Linked DNA regions of Lytechinus pictus. The protein of the gene in region 1 binds, or shares a complex with, the protein of each later gene. Links are inferred from orthologs where the notes say so. Each region holds a gene or a part of one and is shown in the gene's direction. Other genes may lie near its edges.

The links. The genes of interacting proteins can lie anywhere in the genome.
Region 2: the proteins of WD repeat-containing and planar cell polarity effector protein fritz homolog (region 1) and protein fuzzy homolog are in contact, whole or in part, in a cryo-EM structure (PDB 7Q3D), measured with the Homo sapiens proteins. The link is inferred for Lytechinus pictus from reciprocal best matches to the Homo sapiens genes WDPCP and FUZ. Residues at the interface, in NP_056994.3 of Homo sapiens: Arg55, Ile57, Asn75, Lys78, Leu82, Glu418, Asp419, Arg420, Leu421; in NP_079405.2 of Homo sapiens: His293, Glu372, Glu373, Pro374, Arg379, Gln397, Pro399, Thr400, His401, Gly402, Ser405, Leu406.

The regions. Positions count from the first base shown.
Region 1 is NC_087251.1:37,384,864-37,395,467, reverse strand, and holds the start of WD repeat-containing and planar cell polarity effector protein fritz homolog, read left to right. Parts: upstream 1-4,670; 5' UTR 4,671-4,692; coding exon 4,693-4,753; intron 4,754-6,409; coding exon 6,410-6,454; intron 6,455-7,193; coding exon 7,194-7,235; intron 7,236-7,680; coding exon 7,681-7,751; intron 7,752-8,798; coding exon 8,799-8,976; intron 8,977-10,604. UniProt on the Homo sapiens protein: Probable effector of the planar cell polarity signaling pathway which regulates the septin cytoskeleton in both ciliogenesis and collective cell movements.
Region 2 is NC_087260.1:17,862,810-17,873,413, reverse strand, and holds the start of protein fuzzy homolog, read left to right. Parts: upstream 1-4,184; 5' UTR 4,185-4,242; coding exon 4,243-4,392; exon of another isoform or gene 4,393-4,430; intron 4,431-5,888; coding exon 5,889-6,010; intron 6,011-6,898; coding exon 6,899-6,983; intron 6,984-7,314; coding exon 7,315-7,383; intron 7,384-8,232; coding exon 8,233-8,337; intron 8,338-9,110; coding exon 9,111-9,308; intron 9,309-9,949; coding exon 9,950-10,152; intron 10,153-10,604. UniProt on the Homo sapiens protein: Probable planar cell polarity effector involved in cilium biogenesis. May regulate protein and membrane transport to the cilium.

The DNA.
Region 1 (10,604 bases):
TATCGTGTTTTATTTCATTTATTTATTTTTTTGCTGAACGTTATAAACACATGTTTTCTTTACGATACATATTTTTTCATAATATTTATTTAATGATAAAGCATGGGGGTCAGAGAGGTTGCTGCCCGTTTCGATATTTCAAGTTTGGTTTTTAAAAAATGGAAAGGGGATGGAGAAAGAGGGAGAAAATGTGAGGAAATAAAAAAAAAAGCATATTTAAAAAAATCATTTGGGCCTAGATTACCCCGGCTTATTATATTCACTCGCGTTCGTAATCACTCGCGTCGCGTTGGTAATCACACGCGTTTTTGATTTTTGGCGATTTTTTTTTATTTCGGTGCGATTTTTTCTAACGGTGTCTTCAATGGGACAAACGTACTGGAAAAATAAAATGAAATTGAAATTCGAGTTTCGTTTTTAAACCGGCAAGTGCCTTAAATAAGATGTAGGCCTACTCAACTACTGTTTTAACATAACAAACAAGCAAATCAGCCATGTGGCTCAAGTAAATTAGAATAGATCCGGACTTCTACTGTGTCTTATACGAGGACTCCGAGTCGGAACTTGCCATATCTGCCACATCGATATTACATCGTATCATTCCCATATGCGGACATGCCTGCATGCAATGGCCCCAAGGCGGCCGGACCCGGCCGCGGTCGGACACGACGTGCATCGGTAGCATGGAGCAAGCTAACGTGAGTGGAGCTGAGTTAGATCCCACGTTACATATGAGGCGCCGATTGTACCAATATCATATAGAACAATTATATGTTATATAATCATTATGTAACTATTATTTATATATAATTTACATTTTGTTTGAAAATAATTACTATCATATAAAATAACATTTCTAATTATCTATAATTCCAAGTAATACTTCATTATTTGTAAATAATAATAGTTCGACATTCCATTATTTATAAATAATGATTATTTGTTTTTCATTATTTATAAATAATGATTATTTGTTTTTCATTATTTATAAATAATGATTATTTGTTTTTCATTATTTATAAATAATGGTTATTTGTATATAAATAACGATTATTTGTATATAATGGCAAATTGTAAAAATCGTTTATAAATAATGATTATTTATAATTAATGGGATATTGAAACAAAATTGTTATTAATAAATAATGAAACACGATGAATTTTCATTATTTATAAATAGTGAGGTAGATATTTCATTATTTAACAAATAATCGTTATTTATAAATAATGGAAAACTCGAACATTAAATAATGATTATTTATAAATAATGAGAATAATGGCGCACTCAAAAAAAATATTTATAAATAATGAAGTAGATGTCTTCATTATTTAACAAATAATCATTATTTATAAATAATGGGAAACTCAACAAATTATTTATAAATAAAGAAATGTGGACTGGCATTGTTAATAAATAATTATTATTTACAAATAATAGAAAACTCGAAAAACTTATTTATAAATAATGGAAAAACGAATTGCAATTATTCATAAATAATGAAGTATGCAGTGTCAATATTTATAAATAATGAAACACAAAAATTATTATTTATAAATAATGAAAAACAAATAATCATTATTTATAAATAATGAAAAAAAATATTCATTATTTACAAATAATGAAAACAAATTATCAGTATTTATAAATAATGAAAAACAAATAATCATTATTTATAAATAATGAAAAACAATTAATCATTATTTATAAATAATGAAAAACAAATAATCATTATTTATAAATAATGAAAACAAATCATCATTATTTACAAATAATGAAGTATTACTTGGAATTATATATAAATAATTAGAAATTTTATTTTATATAATAGTAATTATTTTCAAATAAAATGTAAATTATATATAAATAATAGTTATTATATAATAAATTATGATTATATAACAAATAATTGTTTTATATAATATTGGTACAATCGGCGCCTCATATGTAACTCAACTCGACTCAACTAGCTTGCTCCATGCTACCGATGCACGTCGTGTCCGTACGCGGTCGGGTCCGGCCGCCTTGGGGCCATTGCATGCAGGCATGCATGTCCGCATATGGGAATGATACGATGTAATATCGATGTGGCAGATATGGCAAGTTCCGACTCGGAGTCCTCTATAAGACACAGTAGAAGTCCGGATCTATTCTAAGTTAGTTGAGCCACATGGCTGATTTGCTTGTTTGTTATGTTAAAACAGTAGTCGAGTAGGCCTACATCTTATTTAAGGCACTTGCTGGCTTAAAACGAAACTCGAATTTCAACTTCATTTTATTTCCCTGCATGTCTGTCCCATTGAAGACACCGTAAAAAAAAAACCGCACCGAAATAAAAAAAATCGCCAAAAAGTCAAAACGCGAGTGATTACGAACCCGCACGCGACGCGAGTGATTATAAACTGCCATTACCCCGGAGTTTTGAAATTGATGCCAGCAACGTGACTTGGCGCCATCCATGCCCCATCCAAGATAAAATGCATCTGAGTGCAATTGAATGACCCCCCAAAGTGTTTAAAGGTGATATGTCAGTGTGGCTTGCCGTAAACGCATTTTCTCTCAATGCCGACGGTGGCGGGCGGTGTCCAAAGAAGATCATGCCTACGTAGGACATGTCTGGAGGTGTCTTTCCAAGGACCATTCTTCGTATCGCCCAAATCGGCTTTGTGAAACAGTTGAGCGATATCTCGTTCTTACATAGAATGGATCTACGAAAGACCCTTTCATGCAACAGGCCCCTGGCCGGCTCTCGCCACTCTAACGTTAGAGCCAGGCCCAGGGACCGGATGAGGTCACTCACACGTATTGCGAGGTTAGTATTAGTATACTAACCTCGCAGTATCGCACCATGAACCGCGTTTGGCAGTGTATTTCTAACTAGTGGGTCGCGCGTGCTACGATCCCACTTCTGGTGTCCACAGCTTTTTTCAAATTCAAATTCAATTTGGTTTTATTCAACAATACTCATCAAAAAGTCCGAAGACTAACAATGTGAGTTTACATTAAAAAAAATACATAACAGAGAAATATATAAATACATAACATGCAGTGACCATTAAAGAAGAAAAAAAATATACATGTTTAAAATGCAATAATAGTATAAAAAGATATAGAATGAGCAGATGTAATAAGACAGATTTAATTTATATATTAAAAAAAGAGCAGATGAGGAGCAAGAAAGGGGAGCAAGAATGGCAAGAGTAAGCATGTGAAAAGGTGAGAATAGAAAGGGGGATGTAGCAAAAATAAAGGAAAGAGGGAAAAAAGGAAATTGAGGGAAAAAAACCCCACAAGTAAACAACAAATTGTAGATTACAAATATAAGAATTATGTGTAACAAAAAAAAAAGAAGGAAAGTGACATGATGGCGATTATAATAGACGAGAGAGTGGGAAAGAGCAACAGGGAGATAGAGGGAGAAGGAGAGAGAAAGACAGAAAGAGATATATAGAAAGGTCAGACAGAATCTGAAAGAAGGACATCATATCTAATCATAAGTTACATAAGTAAACAAAATATACATAGAAAAAAAACCACACGACTTCTATGGCTTGTTTTTTCTGTGCGCAGCGGCATGTAATGAACCCTTGAGTGGATGAGGTCGAGAATTGTGGTGGTAACCATCTGTTGTACATAAATTATAAAATCCTGATTTTTTGGTGAAAAAAGTTCAATGAAAGATCTGATCTCAACTCGTCTCGTCATCGTGAATGAGTGTAATCCGGGCTTGATCATTGATGATCCAAAGTTTTTTCCAAATTCCAGTCTTTTCTATGGTTAAAAAAGAAAATTGGGAATCCCGAAAATTGTATCCAGTCTGTCCAACGCAAGCCAAAAGGTAGTTTGAAAATCAGTAGATCGTAGCGCCGGTCCAAAAATTGGGATTGTCCCAGAAACAAGGTTATCCTCAGACCTCAAAAACCAAGACAACTCGTCATCGTGTCTTGATAAAATGAGATTGTCCTTGTCGGGGACAGTTTTTTTTCTTCACTTACCCCTGCGGGACATAGACGTCAATTACAGGGATATAGTGTGCTAGAAATAGATTCAGTGACCTCAATCCCCCAAGTTCATTGTCTATTCTTCATGACAATAATCTTGTTAATGTTATGAAACCGGATTGACTAGCACACTTGATTGGTGTCTGCACTTGACAGGTGAATGAACTGAATCAATCGGGTAATGAGATGAGGTACAGGTACGGAGTGTTTCCGTCTGAGGCACGAGCTGCACAAGATGTTCTTCAACTTCATTCATGATATGATTATGAATTTATGATGGTGAGATTATGTCACACATGCACTTACCCAATGTATAAGGATTACTGCCATAGGATTTCCATGTGAAACAATTAAACAATTGAATGAAGTTTGAAAAGCTACTTATGGATACTTATTAATATAGATGCTTCTGAAAAGCAGACTTCCACCTTCTCTTTATTCAGATCCAAATTCTTGTATTATTTTTTAGTCAAAATATATTATTGCACCTAAATATACTGTATATAGTTTATACCTTTATTTTTAAAAATAGTTTGCTTTAATGTTCGCTTAAAATATTTTTTTCATTAAAACAATATTTTTTATTTACATTGTAGGACAAAAGATCCCCAGTCACCAATAGAGCCTGGCATTGATGGTAGAAGAAGTAGAAATTAGAGTTATCTATTCGTTGAAAACTTGATTTACTTCAACATGGCAGGGTGTCTGGTTGAGCTGTACATCTGGTCAATGAAAGGTGCTATGGGAATCAAAGGTAAAATATGCTTTCAAATGAACATTAAAAAAGTAACATTGATAAAGAATATGAAAAAATGTAAAATATTTGAAAAAAATTAAAAGTTCTTAATTGATTGTAATAGAGATTAGAGTTTTATAAATGGTTGTTCTTGTTTTACTCCATTGTGTTTGTCAATTTATTCACTACTACAGAGATGCCAACCCTCCCGATTTCATCGGGAGGCTCCCGAAAATTCATCCCAACTCCCGCCCTTACGATTACCATCCTTATCCTCCCGAAATTACGATTTTTTTTTGCATTGATCAAATTGGATTGGAAGTACATGTATCGTCTGCTGACTTTAGCATGTAGTAACTCCATTACGTTTCGCTGCTACTAAATTCTGTGTGAAAGGCAGACAAATAAGGAGCAGCGAAAAGCTGGTGCATGTGATATGCCCAACGGGAATCCACTGTGCACCAGGCCGGTAGGCCTGGCTAGCTTCGCGAGGCGTGTGCGCTCGCGGCCGCTGGATTTGTCGAGTCGTGCGATGGAATATCGGTGTGTGATTTCGGCGTATTGATGGGTTGATATTGACACGAAATGGCGGAAAATCAACAAAAAAAGACCAAGAAATGGTCTCAGAAGTATAAGACTGAAAACAGTCTCCAGTACCCGTGTATTCGGAAAGAGGAATCTACCATGCATTTTGCACAATTTGCAGCGTGGACATTAAAGTTGAGCACGGAGGTCGTGATGATATTCGGAAGCACGTAGGGAGCAAACGGCATACGGACATTGCGAAGACGAGATCTTCGAGCTCCACTAGTACCCTGTTGACTTATTTCACCAAGCAAGGGACCAGCGAGGAGGAAGACGTTACCCGCGCTTTAATAATAATAAAGAGGATAATTCCTTATTATTATAGTTGAACAGGTACTTTTCTTCTATTGTCCCCTCATTTTTTTTACATACGCATATTTGATATTTTTATTTTTATGTCAAAAAAGTGGGAACAATGTTTTTTTAAAAACATGTGAAATGCTCCAAAATAAGGGTCAGATTGCACCAGAGAGCATCTAGAAACCCAGAGCTTCCAGGGCCCTAAGGCGGGCCCTCGACCCCGGCCGCAAGGGTCGAGCGCTCCGCGCTCGAGATGTGCGCTATGCGCACATAATTTGGTGTCGGTTGCAAATCCTCCCTAATTCTGATTTCCAAAAGTTGGCATCTCTGCTAGTATAATAACAATAAAAATATAATAATGATACTACTACTACTACTGCTGCTGCTGCTACTAGTACTACTACTACTAATAATAATAATAGTAATAATAAAAAAATAATGATAATACTATACAGTAACTAATACCCGATAAAGTTGTCAACTTTAATTCTTCCCTTAATTGTTTGACAAGTGAAGATGAATTGAGATGTTATGATGCTTTAAGCATAGAGTGAAAGTTGTAAATCTGTCTGTTGCATCATGAAAGTAATATCTGTTTTGATAGGTGTCTAATTTTATTTTACTATTAATGCCCCTGTTACGTGATATGATAATATATATTTCTTGGCATAACTCATTGAACCAAGATGATATGATAATTAATCCAAACATGGAAATGCACATTGATAAAGTGCTTTTGCATAGTTCATCATTCTATCATCTGTTGTGATAATTTCATATAAAATTTAGATGGAAACATTGGATGCCATAGCTACTATGACAAAGGAGACATGGGTAAGACATAAAGTTTAATAGTTTAATAATTGATAATTAATGATTGGTTAATAAATGATGATATTAACCATAACTGCTGAAGTAATGTATTATTTGTTATACATGTATGACTCTACCTACAGTATATGGTTGCTGGAGGCTTGTTTTTGGTTGTCTATCCATCTGTCTGTTCTGTTGTATGTTCTCTTGAAGTAAAGAACCATTTTAGAAGTTGATTCTACTGTTTTTAATTTTGAGTATTTGAAGATTTAATAAATCCTAATTGCTAACTTAAGTAATATTTTTGTTTATGATCACCCACAACACATGTAGATGGTTGCTAGTGGCATGATTGGGGCCATCGGTATATCCATCCTGTTTATGTTCTCTTGAAACTAAAGAACTAAAGAGGGATTAATTTCAATGTTTTATTGTTTGATAATGATTTATGAAATATCAACCATATCCCAAACAATATCTTTTAATGACTCTGCCCACAGTGGATGGTTTCAGGTCATCCATCTATCTATCCTTTTTTACGTTCTTTCGATAATGAAAGAACCACCCAAGGGGTTAATTTCAAACTTGGTTTATGTATGCATTATTGGAGTGACTCCATTAGAGTCATGTGATAAAAATAATAATTTTGATTTATGAATATTATGATAACAGTTTATTGAAATTATGATTAAAGTAATAGTATCCCTGGAACACTATTTCACTAACTGTTACTTCATTTGATTGAATTTCTTATATTTAGTTAACACTGGATATATGGATCAGAAGCAGCAGTATTTTGAAAGTAAGTATTGGTTCAGCACAATTGAACATACAAATTTCATTTTCGAAATGATATAAAAAATACTGAAATAATATTTCATTAACAGATAATGATAATAATAATACATATGATTTATATAGCGTCTTTTCCATTTTGATTAAATGCTCAAGATTTCAATGTTGAAAACCTGAAAGGACGACTGTCCTATAATTAGGTCAGTAATACACTGTGGAATCCTATAATAGACTGCTCAGCTGTAGATCAGTCTTGATACATATACCTGTTGATAAAACAAAAACATTGTGAAGTTTGATTCAAATTGCTGGTATGATGGCCATTATCAGAAAATGAGAATATTTAGAAGTTAGCCGAGATCCTTTTGTTCCTTAGCATTCACAAATGTCTGTTTTGAGTTTTTATCATCAATATATGATTCTTGTGTTTATCTAATCATTCAATGTTGTAGGTCGAGATCAAGTTTGGACACCAAAGAACAGAAGGCCGGATAAACTTAGGGATCTTCTTAAAGAAGCGGAGGTAGGCTGATGTTCATTTATTTCTATGGATTCCATTTCCATTTTGTGTATTTGATGCTCGATATTTTATTATGTAATAATTAAAAATGTCATGTGTTGTTTATTATTGAGTACTGACGTGGTGAAATCACAGAAAAACTTTTTTGTATTTCCGCGTTTTTGATACCATATTTTGGTAGAGCATGAAGAAAAACCCCCACAACCTAAATTTTGAGGGAATTGGTTTAGAGGGCCTTAGAGATGACCTAATGAATACATAATTTGTCCCATTAAAGTCAATGTACATGTATTATTTGCCTGGTTCCTGACATTTAGAACCAGCCCAATAACATTGACTTCAATGGGGGGCTAATTATGTATTCATGAGGTCATATCTTGGATCCCCATGGACCGAATCCCACCAAATTTGGGTTGTTGGGGTTTTTATCATGCTCTATCAAAATATGGTATAAAAAAATGCTGACATGCAAAAATGGAAAAATTTATGACGTCACACTTTGGTACTCTATAGCCAGATGATGTCACTGCGGACTAGTATTACAGGGCTTTGTACATGTATATTTGTTATCACTATTACACTTCCCATGGATGGTAATATCATTTGACTATATTTTTCTGCAAAGTGTAATGTATATTCTTTATATTGTGTTATTTAACCAATGAATCTTAAGATTTTGAAAAATACTATATCATAATGTATGATTCAAGTGGAGATCCAAATTATGTAGATATATTCCATAGCATTCCTAATGAATTTGTCTCCATTAAAGATAATTTTGTCATAACTCTGTGCAGAGAAAGACAAATATATTCAAGGTCAAAGAAAGATCATAAAATAGATCTTAGAATTTTGAGTAAAATTAGAGATTAATCCCTCATATGAAGATTGTCTTTTAATCATATTTGTTCAACAATACTGTACTCCTAAACTACACAATTATTGCCAATTATCTATTTGTATTTGTTCTTAAATTTTAAAAGGAATTACTTGCTAGTTAAATTGCAGATGACAATTATTTTCTTTGTATTTCTTGTTGGTGTTGAAAAGGAATTACTTGCCAGTCATGAAATAGTTGCTACACTATGGAGATCCCAGAAGAATGTCCAGCTCCTTTTGAGTAACTGTGTGTTGCTTTCTATACAAATAGCCAGTCACAGTGGGGATATTGATAGACTGGTCATTGATAAGAGTCTTCAAGGAAAGGTTCCTCCTTCTATCACGCACGGTAAGTTTGATCATGGTATATTTTCGAAGACACCCTTAACTTCATTGTATTAATTATGATAAATTGCCCCTTGGTTTACATCCACTTTGTCTATTTGCCTATTTTCCTTTTGGTTTCATCCCACATGGTGTAATCTCATTGGCCCGTATTCTGAAGTCGGGTTTAAATTAAACCCTGGTTTAAAGTTGTGGTTTAACTATGGAGAGCCAATTGGGGCACAAATCCCCAATAGTACACATTCAATTCTTTAACTCATATGACACCCAAATTGTCCATAATTGTCTGGGAATGATAACTGAAGTATTTTCTTCATTATGAAACAAAAGGAAACAAAACAGTAAACATAAAAAATATACAATATAAACTTTTATTTGTATTTTTGGCTCCCCATAATTTTAGTACAGAGTTAGACCTTTGTCTAAGTTAAACATGACTTCAGAATACGGGCCATTTTGTCCACACCTAGTTTGTCTATTTAATCTAATTCCCACTATTAAAGCCCATTTACCATTTTCTCTTCACTACCATTTTGTCAAACACCAGTTAGTCTAGATGATTAGATAAACTGTTTATGAACCAAATTTAATTCAAAGAGTGCAATAGAAGTAGACGGAGAGAAAATTCTCTTTATACTCTTTATAGATTAAATTAAATGAAAGTTAGCCCAAGTCAGTATTAGACCAAGTGGAGATTAGACTAAAAGGATATTAGACCAAATTGATTTAAGTCATATGCTATAAGACAATCTGACCCTGAGAAGTAGACTAATTGGAAATAAACCTGTATCATTACCCCAGGGGGGGGGGGTGCTCATAAAATAAGGCATGCGGGGATGTGCCCCTGGAATGGGTCGCTTTTTGGAAGAAATCCCTGAATATGGGTATGGTTTTATGCTGGAAAATCCCCAAACATTTATTTTTAGTTACTAGCCTTAAACATGGTTCCATATTCTCCAATTATGCGTGATAACCTTTTTATCCCTTTTTTTCCTTTTCACATTTTAATAAATACTTAATAATGGGTACCTTTTTTTAGCCAAAATTGGGTCTGGGTTTTGAACCTTCAGCCGCACACCCCCGTCCAAACCAAATCTAATACCCCCCCCCCCCAAATTATTACTGGAAACTTCCCACTTCACTTGATATCATTATTGTGTCTGCTGCATTTAGACATTGTGTAAAATATTGCAAAAACTTTTGTTGCGTTAAAATGTTTTTTTTCTTCACAATTTGAAATGCTATTCTAGTAGACTTTCTTTTAAATATATTGTACAGATGCAATTCCAGGAAAATTTCATGCTTGCAGATTGGCAACATACCTTTTTCAACTAACTGAACTAGAATTTCTTGACATTTGAATAGGACAATCTGAACCATGTTTCCAGTAACATCACTTTCTAGCATTTTGCTTTGGAAATTATTCTGGCAAGAGAATATGCATTTTTATATTAAAATGAGCCTGTTTGTAACCTATGAAATCTTAATTACGTGAATGATGGTGTAAACTTTAATCTGTTTAATTCTCTTAAAGGGATGGTCCGGGCTGAAAATATTTATATCTTAATACATAGAGTAGAATTCACTGAGCAAAATGCCGAAAATTTCATCAAAATCGGATAAAATCATATC
Region 2 (10,604 bases), on another chromosome or scaffold:
ATTTAATTACATTATTCTCATATTAAAACATGACAAATAATTAAAATCCAATCATACCTATACTTCAATTTTCTCTAGGAAATATACTCTCTTGAAAGAAAAGAGCCAAATTACAAGCCCTTTCTTTCCTCCATAACATTTCATCCTCATAGCTTTTGCATTTTCAGTTTAAATATAAAGGTATATTCAAAACATTCGTGTATGTATTACATACACGAATGTTTTGAATATACCTTTATATTACATACACGAATGTTTTGAATATACCTTTATATTTAAACTGAAAATGCAAAGCTGGCCATCGTCACATGCTTGTATTTATATTTAGCAAAATAAACATAACATGATTAATAAGAAACTAACGTTCTGAAACTCACACGTCGTGAGACTAATTTTTGCCCTTAGTCAACGAAGAAGCGTTTATTTTTTTCTCTCTATTCTTTTTTTTTACAATTGAGTATTAAGCATATGATTACACTTAATTGTTGGAGATGTGAGATCCACGCTATTGGGTTATTTTTTAAAATAGTTGTTTCGATTAGCCTAAAAGCTTAAAAGCTATAAACTGGGGGCCTAATCAAACGGTACGTGTCAGAGAGCACGTATGCGTTTGATTCGTCAAACCTAAAAAGCTGCTCATGTGGAAACTTCTAAATGGACTCGAGGCATACAGTATTATAGTTCTAATCATGATAATGGGATTTCGTTCAAGTCCTTTCCATTAAGGGTCATGATGATTAAAACAAAATAACGTTTTTGTTCTCCTTTTTTTCATTCATTAGTTTTAAGCTCGATAGTTTTTCATTTGATATCTGTTTCCATTGATCATAATAAGTGTTTACAGGGGCCGATGAACCACGGGGTGGGGGTGTAGCCTTCCCACTTTTTCAATAAACGTGAAGAAAATCCCATAAGTAAATCTGATTGTGCTTGTTTCATAGGTTAGCCACCTCCCTCCCCCATTTTCGGCCCAGCCCCCCAACTTTTAAAACCCCTGCCGCGGTCCCTGGCCTTGTTTGGATCATATAGTTTTTCAAATATCAGTGATGTTTGCCCGTTTATCTCCTTTATTCCATGCAGGTTTAGTATACTGGTTCCCATAATCGTGTGACAATAATGATTGCATAATTATATTGATATATTTTTTTTTAAAGACATAGCAAAATGCGAATTTAACACCCATACTTAGTCAGGGGACTGGGATTCAAGTGGGGGTAACTATTCACACCCCTGTCCTACAACGCTAAGGTATTTGGGACCTATATAATTGGGGACCTATAGTTGTCGAAGTTGTTTCCTGTTCAGAAAATATATAATAGGAACTGTAATTCTATGGGCCCACACACCATGCACATGTGCAGACCGGTATTAAAATCACTATGTGAGAAATTCTTGTCATTCAACTGTTATAATCAGGGGCGGCGTCATAAGTTGGGCTCTTACCCCCTCCTAATTTTCATGTCATAATACAGTGGTGCTAAAAAGTTAGTGACCCCCACCAGAAAATGCATTCCTTTATATGCTGAGTGTTGAATGTAGACAACAACACAACAATGTTTGGCGAGCCCAGAGAAACAAGCTTTATTGAAAGTAATATGTCAATTACTGACTTCACAATTAAATATCAACATGTCAGAACTTATACAAACACTTGAAATATGTTCATTTTCAGGTGGGGTTCGCTAACTTTTCAGCATCATGCACTAAGTACGTATTATTCAATTGAGAACAAAAAGTATGTCATCTTCATGTCGACTTGCCCCCTCCTCCATCAAAATAATCTTCGGTCCCCCCTGGTTAAAATGGTTTTACCCTTAGCATATATTTATGCTGATACAAAGATACAAATTGCGCGACCAGATTTAGTCGTGGCAATGTTTTTTTTTAAATACATGATATCAGCATAGACTTTACTTCATTTTCATCTTGTTTCATACCAGTATATCTTAGGGTAATAGAAACTATGGAGGCCATCTCTTTTGAGGTTGCCCTTGAAATTCGATCTGTATGTTGCCTTTTTAAATTTTATATTATGTAGGCCTATACATCATTAAACTGGCTTTGTACAACAAAAGCCTGATCCTCGAATCAGCCAGCATGTAATGAATACTTTGTATTCTATTTTTTCCCCAATAAAATAAAGAAAGAGAAATTATATATGTGAACAAAGCGGACCTAAAGAATCAATTCCCTAAATTTTGCTTTATAATCGCATTTTATGTAGTAATTCATCTTTCACTCGTTCAATCTCGGGTTTATAGCAGGGGCCGCGAAACGGTTTTCAAAGTGGGGGGCTGAGCCAAAAGTGTGGGGGGGGGGCTGACCATGCAAAAAATCACAATCCTATGGTCATTTTTACGTTTTTGTACACGCTTCCGCGGCCCCTGCATAGGTCAGTCACACCCAACCATTGCCAACGGGAAAAGATACTTAAAACGGCAAAATATTCGAAATGATGTGGATAGCAAGATTTAAAATAAAACAAAGAAAGTCACCAAAATGTTCATACACGCCAGTGAAAACGATTCGTCTAGTATTTTGATTGAATTGGAGGGTAATTTAATGCCTTTGTGAATATTGTCACCTGAACCTATCAACAAATTTGCCGGACTTAACAATATCAATTTTAAACGACAATAAAAATTATGCTGGTAGACGCATGTAAGATAAATTTTTCCATTTTCAGTTTTTATTTCGCAAGTATCATATTTTATCTCTCTCTCTTTCTCTGACTTCTATCTGCCTTTATATTTTTCTTATTTCATCCTTCTTTTTTTTGTTCCTTTTATTCTCCATACGCTTTTCCCGATTCCCTTTGTATATACTGCAAAAACTGTGGTGTTAACCGGTGTACACAGAGGACCACATCAGTTATTTTACACCGGTGTTATAAATTGACAGTGTTAGTTTAACACCTATAGGTGTTATTACCCCACACCTATGGTTGTTACATTTGCACTCTTTGGTGTTTATGTTCAATCTCTAGGGTGTAATTTAACACCTCAGATTGTGGTCCTCTATTAACACCAACTGGTGCCGGTTTTAACACCACAGTTTTTACAATGTATCTTTATCATAATTTTATTGTGTGTGATATATTTGTGATAATTCTCATGATTATTCTGAAAATATTATTTGGTCGTATTATCTTCTGGATTAATTTATAACTTACATTATACGATTCCTCAGTTGGAGGCGCATAATTATAGAGACGTTAATTATAATCAAAACGTGATATGTGCTATATAGAGCTTTTAATATTGTCATTCTTATTATTATTGTTATTATTATTATTATCATTATTATTAATATTATCATTATTATCATTATTATTATTATTATTATTATTATTATTATCATTATTATCATTGTTATTATTATTAATATTATTGTTATTATTATTTGTTATTATTATCATTAATAATAATATTAACATTAATATTTGTGATGTTCCGATCAGTTAGTAACATAATTCCTTTAGGCATCTCCCAAATATTTCTCATAAATCGTTTTAGTAGATTCCGTTTTTATATATACATGACATTTTCATTCTTGTACATATCTACATAAGTTTAACATAAGCCTATATGTGTGTGTCACTTCCACTCTGCAGCTATACTAGTACCATCTGTATGATAACTGCATATGCAACAATAACACATGCACACACACCCACACACCAAACATGTCTTTAAAATTTTGTATTTGTAAACAGAAATTACAATCATTTATGGTATGTTTTTCATTAAATCTTGGAGATTATTTTTTGTCATTCACCAGAGCGAGCGCTCAAAAATAGGCATAATTTTTATTATATTTGTGAGGTCCTCTATAATTGTGGGTATAACTGATGGAATATAAAAGAAATATCTTTCTATTAATACCTTGGATAATACTTTGGATGTAGGCATTTAAAGCTAATAATTTATTTGCCTCTCGATGGCTTATAATGAAGAATTCTGAACACTTTTAACGGCACTGTATACAGCATTTGAACATGGGCAGGCAAAACTTTCATTTGGGTCAAATGTCACTTTTCTGGAGATCCAATATCTCAATAAATTGAATGAAAAATAATAATATTCAGTATGATATTAGATAAAGGCATGAATGAGTGAAGGAGAATCTGATTGTGCCAAAATATAAGCATTTATGTCCCTCGGCCTATTCACGAGGAAACCGGGGATAGTAAATGTGATTTTTTTTTTCTAGTTTAAAGACACCATACCACCGGTCAAGTGTATGACAGATTTTTTTTTGACGCAGCGCAGACGAATTTTATCAACATTTTGGTTCACAAGACGTATATCTACCATGGCAGTGCATTTGGTGTGTCTTACAAACGAAGGAGGAGTTCCACTTTTTACACGAACCAAAGGAGATGTAAAATCCGTAAGATTTTTCCACAGATATGAATTTTACCAAAGAATGTTAGTTTGAGCCTTGTCGTACAGTATTTGTATTTGGCTTCGGTCCCACTCCTTAATTTTCGTGTGTCCCAAGTCAATGATTTTTAATTGGTTACTGTGACTGTGTGATCATGATCTGAGACTGAGTGAGAAGACTAGCTAAAATAAAGCTAGGACGTGGCATTGGAATAGGCCCAAAACAAAGGACAACATCAACAATATATAATAGATAGTAAAAGCAGGGAAATTTCTCTTCGAGGAGTCATTGCATTGGTTTTAATAAAAGCAGAAAGATGGAGAAAAATAAATTATTAATGCCAGCCCATAGGCATACCGGTAATGGTGAAAGTTTGAAAGTAAATGCGGAGATCGACAAGCATTCTGCCATTCATAAATCAAAGTGAAGTCAAGAAAGAAAATATGATGAGTATTTTTTTAGGTTTTTAATTCATGAAGTCATGTGAAGTTTACTTGGCTCACTCATTCAAATTCAATGATTTGAGCAGAAACCCAGGGAGCACCGGCCCGCGGAGCCCAGGACTCGTCCGATCCGTCTAATACTAGGCGGACATATGCTCTCCGAAATGGGGTAGAATGGGGTTGCAATAGCACTCAAAATAAAAGGGGAAAAAATAAATTATGCACTTACCTCGATTATATTGATGAAGGTCTATCGTGAAACACAGAATCCTGACATCGTCTGTGCATATCAGACCACACTCTCAGCGGAGACTCCGTGCAGTATTCTTAATCATAAGGTTGTAAACACAATGATTTCACTCTCTTGGTGGGAGCAATTTTCAGTCATTTACATGTTGATTTGGAGGACCCTACACGATTACAATCAATGTCATGTGGTTTATGATTAATTTAATTGAAAATAATTATTCCCCAGGTTGAGTGACATTGCATCTGTGGCCTCCTGTGGCCACTCTTTGATTCTGTATAGTCACAGAAAAAATTCCTGCTAAAGTACTGCTCTACATCCTTCAATTTTCGATGAATTGTACAGATATCTTCTATGATGTTGACTTCTTCTTCAGGAGATCAGATATCAGTCTTTTCTTGGACATTTTTTTCAAGTACCAGGATATTTCCTTCAGCTTAAATTTGCAACATGTTTATTCAAGATTCATTTGTTATTGGTTTTGGAATGGCATCAGTATTAAATGGATGCCTGGAACAAATATCTAAACTCCTGAGTGTTCAGTTTCCTCACTGACCTGACTCTCGGATTCTGTTTCCTTTGACTCATGTTTCCTAATATTAAAATAGACAGCTCTTTGAAGAAGTCCATTGACCATTGCAACTCCAGTCTTAAAAGCTTTGAATGGTGTTAATATCCAACTACATGTATCACCAACAAAAATGAAATCATCCATTAAGTTAGTATTCCTATCTTTGATGGCATTCAGAATCCAATGATTCAATCTTGAAAATGTCTTATCAGTGTTATTCTTTTTTCTCTACATTGAACAGCTTGCTTTTGCTGAACAAGGCATGCTCTACGGCGTTCAGATGTTTGCCCAGAACCATGGGGTAAAGCTGGAAAGTACAACCACTGAAGAGGCCAAGGTCATCTGGCAGGTGTTCCATGACAGGTAGCTACATTGACCATTGAGGTCAAAGGTCAAATACAGTGAAACCTATACATAAAGACCACCCAACCTAGGCCTTAAAGAGCAGGGGTGTTTCACAAAGATTTAAGTATGAATTAGAGTTGCAATTAAATGCTGACACATACATGGTATGCAACATGGCAATCTTATACATCAATATGCTATAGTGCGCATCCTCTGACTATTGCGGTCATGCTTTACAGCGTACATGTATATACCGAATGCAACTAGGCATTTAAGTGCAACTCTTTTTGAAGCACCCCCCAGGTTGTCTTCATGAATACGCCACTATTATAAACATTTTAATCTGGAAAACTATTCAAGGGAAACGAAAGTTATGACCTTTATAGTTTTGTGGTCCCATTTTATTGGGTTTACTACTTACATGTATATACACAATATGTTTATGTAATGAACAAAAGTAAATCAATTGACTTTTAAAATAATATATTTTATAGATTTTCCTTATAAATTGTGTTCCTTATGTTGCAAAATTAGGTTTTTTATGTTGCAAAATTAGGTCTTTTATGAACTGTAGCAACTAGCAAGGCATATTCATGGAGTATGTGTATATATATATATATATATATATTTTACTCTTTCTCCTTTATATTAATGTATTTTTTCAAAACGATTTTTAACACCATATTAAAAGTTCTTGCGTCGACACATTGATGTCTACACTGCAATTGTTATAAGGCAATTTGAGATTTGCAACGCAACTTCTAGGACATGGTTATCCCTTCTGTTGCACTTGCATATTACAGTATGTTTTGCCAGTGAAGGCATTACCGATATCCTGTCGATGATGCAATGCAGTACGTCGGTGGCAGCCGCGATTATTAATTAATTTTCTTGTTCATTCTACAGTGTAACCTTGGTTTTGGTGACCAGCAACGATGGAAGCTGTGATGTACATTACAATACACTTCTCAACCACATATTTCATTCAATGGTAAGTACTACTGCTTGTAGTTCACCTGGTGACATCCACATAGGGTTTATTATAGAATGGCAACATGCATATGGAATTACCGACGCATGACCAGCCATGCATCTGGTAAATTTGCCATGCGTCGGTAATTACTTATATATGGTTGTAAAAAAAATGGTTGTTTCAGGTTATGTTCGTAGGGCTGTATACCCTTGTAATAATTAGGATTCTACAGGAATATCTTTTTGTCTTAAAGGAGATATTCTGTCTTAATGGACCCATTCAGATATGATGATAATACTTACAAACATCCATGTTATCTCATATCATTTGTCCTTTCTTTCGGCTGCAGGTTATGTTCATAGGGCTGGATACCCTTGTGAGTATCAGGAATGTAGAAAAACTCCGCCGAGAAATAAAGGTGAGTCTTAAAAATGATATTTCAGCTAGCTTTCAAATTCTTTTCATGAAATTTTAAGTTGAACAGTTTATTCAGGATACATCATGCTCTTCTTTAAAGGATTGCTCAACAAGTGCCCTCTCAAGTGCCCTCACAGGTAAAACAGTCGGCTCACAGTGTGCATGTAGTCCCGTACATTTATTTATGTGTTCTGTCCAAATGACTCGGCAGGATTTTGTCAAGTATTAAGGTTATTTTGATAACTTTTTAATCTTGATAATTGCAAGTACAAAAAATAACCAACTGAGCGAACACTTCATGTATGCTTTTGTGTCACAGCAAACAATTTTTTTTGCTTCAAGCGGGTAACTATGTCATCATTGATTGGCATGTTTGAGCATCTTTCAACACCTGAACTTTTATAAAAAGTTTGAGTATAGTGTAACCTGCATATAATGTCTACTGAAAGGAACCCCCCCCCCCAAAAAAAAAAAAATAGAAAAAACAAAAACAAACAACTGGCCTTTAAAGACAACAAGTGGCTGCTTAAAAACAATTTCTTATACACATAAATTGCCTCAGTGGGAATAAGCTTTAGTGGCATTATAGACAGGTGGCTGCCATAGACATATACATTCATTTTGCCTCCATGGGAATTGGTTTTACTGGTCACTATAGGGAGATGGCTGCTATAGAGAGGTTTTTATCCACGCAATCTGCCTCCATGGGAATCCGTTTTAGTGGTCGCTATAGGCAGGTGGCTGCTATAGAATGGTGGCCCCTGAACAGAGTTTTGATCGTAACCACTCTGTAATAAGTTTAATAGTCCTCTCATGTTCACCCAAATTCTGGAAATTGTCTTTATATCAGGTATGCTATCCTGTTATCGATGTACTTCTTCAGGAGTCTGACATGTTTGGAGCTCTGACTTCATCAGTAGATGTCCTTATCTCACCAGAGAATACTACGTTACTGGTAAAGCTTTGATCAATTATGTTATTTCTTTGGGGGGGGGGGAGGTGGAGGGCAGATGAACTAACCGCCTCCCCCCACAGGGATTGCAAGCCCCAAGAGGGGTCGAGGAAATGAAAAATAGAAATGGGATCAATAAAAAGGGGAAAGGAAATGCAGTACCTAAGATGGATACGTGAACAAATGTTTAGATAAATGTCAACAGTGGGGCATTTCAAAAGCCACAACGGTTACTTGGGTCATTTGTGATAGGGAAATTGGAAAAATTATATTATTGGTATATGATTATGTTCTGTTAATAATAATGATCAATCAATTTACCCTTTTTCATTTTTACCAGTTTAATAAGTGAACACATTAAAAAAAATGCTCATTCTTTCTACAAAAATTAATTGTTAATCTGTTAAATTTATGGATAAAATATGGAAGATGGATATTTCTATGGATCATTTCATGTTACTTCAAATGTTTTATGAATATTCATGTAAGACATTCTAGCCATGTCATGGTTAACTACACACATATAGATAAAGGAAAAAATTGTATTATTCACTTTTATTTTGGAATAAGAAATTATTTCCTGTGACTTTTGAAAACACATTTTGCTTTTAATGTATGTTCACTCATGTATGAATGATGTGTCAATCAGATTTTCACACATACATGTAAGTCAGTACAGAAATGTAGGAGCACTTCTCCCTAACTATTTTTTCTTATTAGGGTAAAAATGAGGAATTTAATTTTTTGCTTGTTTGTTACTATTTTTTTCTAACAAGGATCCTTTGGAGGCCTTTGTCACCAGTGCAGATAGTACATTCGGTTGTCTTCATGCTGATGGCAAGCTGGTCGTTGCTACGTCCAACTGGTGGTCACTCAGTGGTCAAGAGATGATGCTAGTGGCCAAATTCATCCAGTCTCTGCCCGTTGGGACATCCAGTGATGTTCCCATCTATCTGCCTCACGCTAGCCCTAAGGTAAGCCATTAAAAAAAAAAAGATTGTGTGAAAGTGTCCAATTAGGCTTCATTTTATATCAAAGCTTAATGATAATGGCAAGTTGAAAGAACTGTTAGAAGAAGAAAAGGAAATGGAGAGTGAGGAAGATGAAGGGTAGACAGGAAGAAGGGGAAGTAAGGTTGAGGAGGGGAGAGAGAAAGGACAACAGTGAAAAAAAAATAGAAGGATGGAATTACGACAGACAGAAATAAGAAGGGGAAGAAAAAGGATGAAAATGAGGAAGGAAGGGATGAAGAAAAGGAAGAATGGAAGGATTGATGCAAGGTTGATGGAAGGAAGGAATGCTGGAGGGAAGAAAGGATGAAGAGATGAATGAAGTGAGGAGTGATGGAGTGAATGCAGAAAGGTAGGAGGAAGAGTAGGAGAAGAAGGGAGGAGGAAGGGGTGTCTAGAGAAGGACAAGGAGAGGAGAAGTAGCAGAAGGAGGAGATGAAGAAACAAAAGAGGATATGGAGGACTAGTGTCATAGCCAAGTGTGAACCCTGTCCTATTTGCCTGATATCAGAGGACTGGGCCCCATATGAGATCTAAACATTTTTTTTTTATACAAACATTTTGTGTGACATAGATTGAGCAATTCTGTTTTTGATATGTTTCAGGATCCTCATAGACTGTTGAGCATCCACCTCTTACCTGGTGTTGTAGTTAGTGTGCTGTGCTACGCGAACCCTACCCTATCCGAAGCAGAGGAACAACTCATCGAGCCATCGTGGAGGTCGCACCACGAAGCTCTCCGGGCAATCCAAAGGGCGCCCCCATCCAACATTCCAAGAACAATCCCTCTTGATGCTGGGATCTTGGGGTAATTACACACATATATGGTCTTAACTCTTTCCAGGAAGCCTGTTTTGTCAATATGTTATGTCTCAGCTGCACTTGCTAAACAACTCCATATGCATACCATCCGGATCTATCATCTTATTTCCAACAACATACCATCAGTCGGTTTGAGACTTTGGTTTTGTTTGTGTGATTGTAGAATTAATTTGTTAGCCTAATCTGTGTGAAAATTTAGGTGTTTTGTGGTGATATTGTTTTGGGGTTTATATTCATTTGGTCTACTAGCAGTTGGTTGGCTTCTCATATATTCTAAAATATGGGCTAAGTCCATCTGGTCTCCCTGCTGTGTGGTCTACACTAATCAATGAATCACTTAGTCTAATTCTCATGTAGTCAAATACCCAGCTCTAATTTCAACTTTCTCTACTTATTTTTTTTCTTTATTAAATTGATATTTGGTTAATGAACAATTAA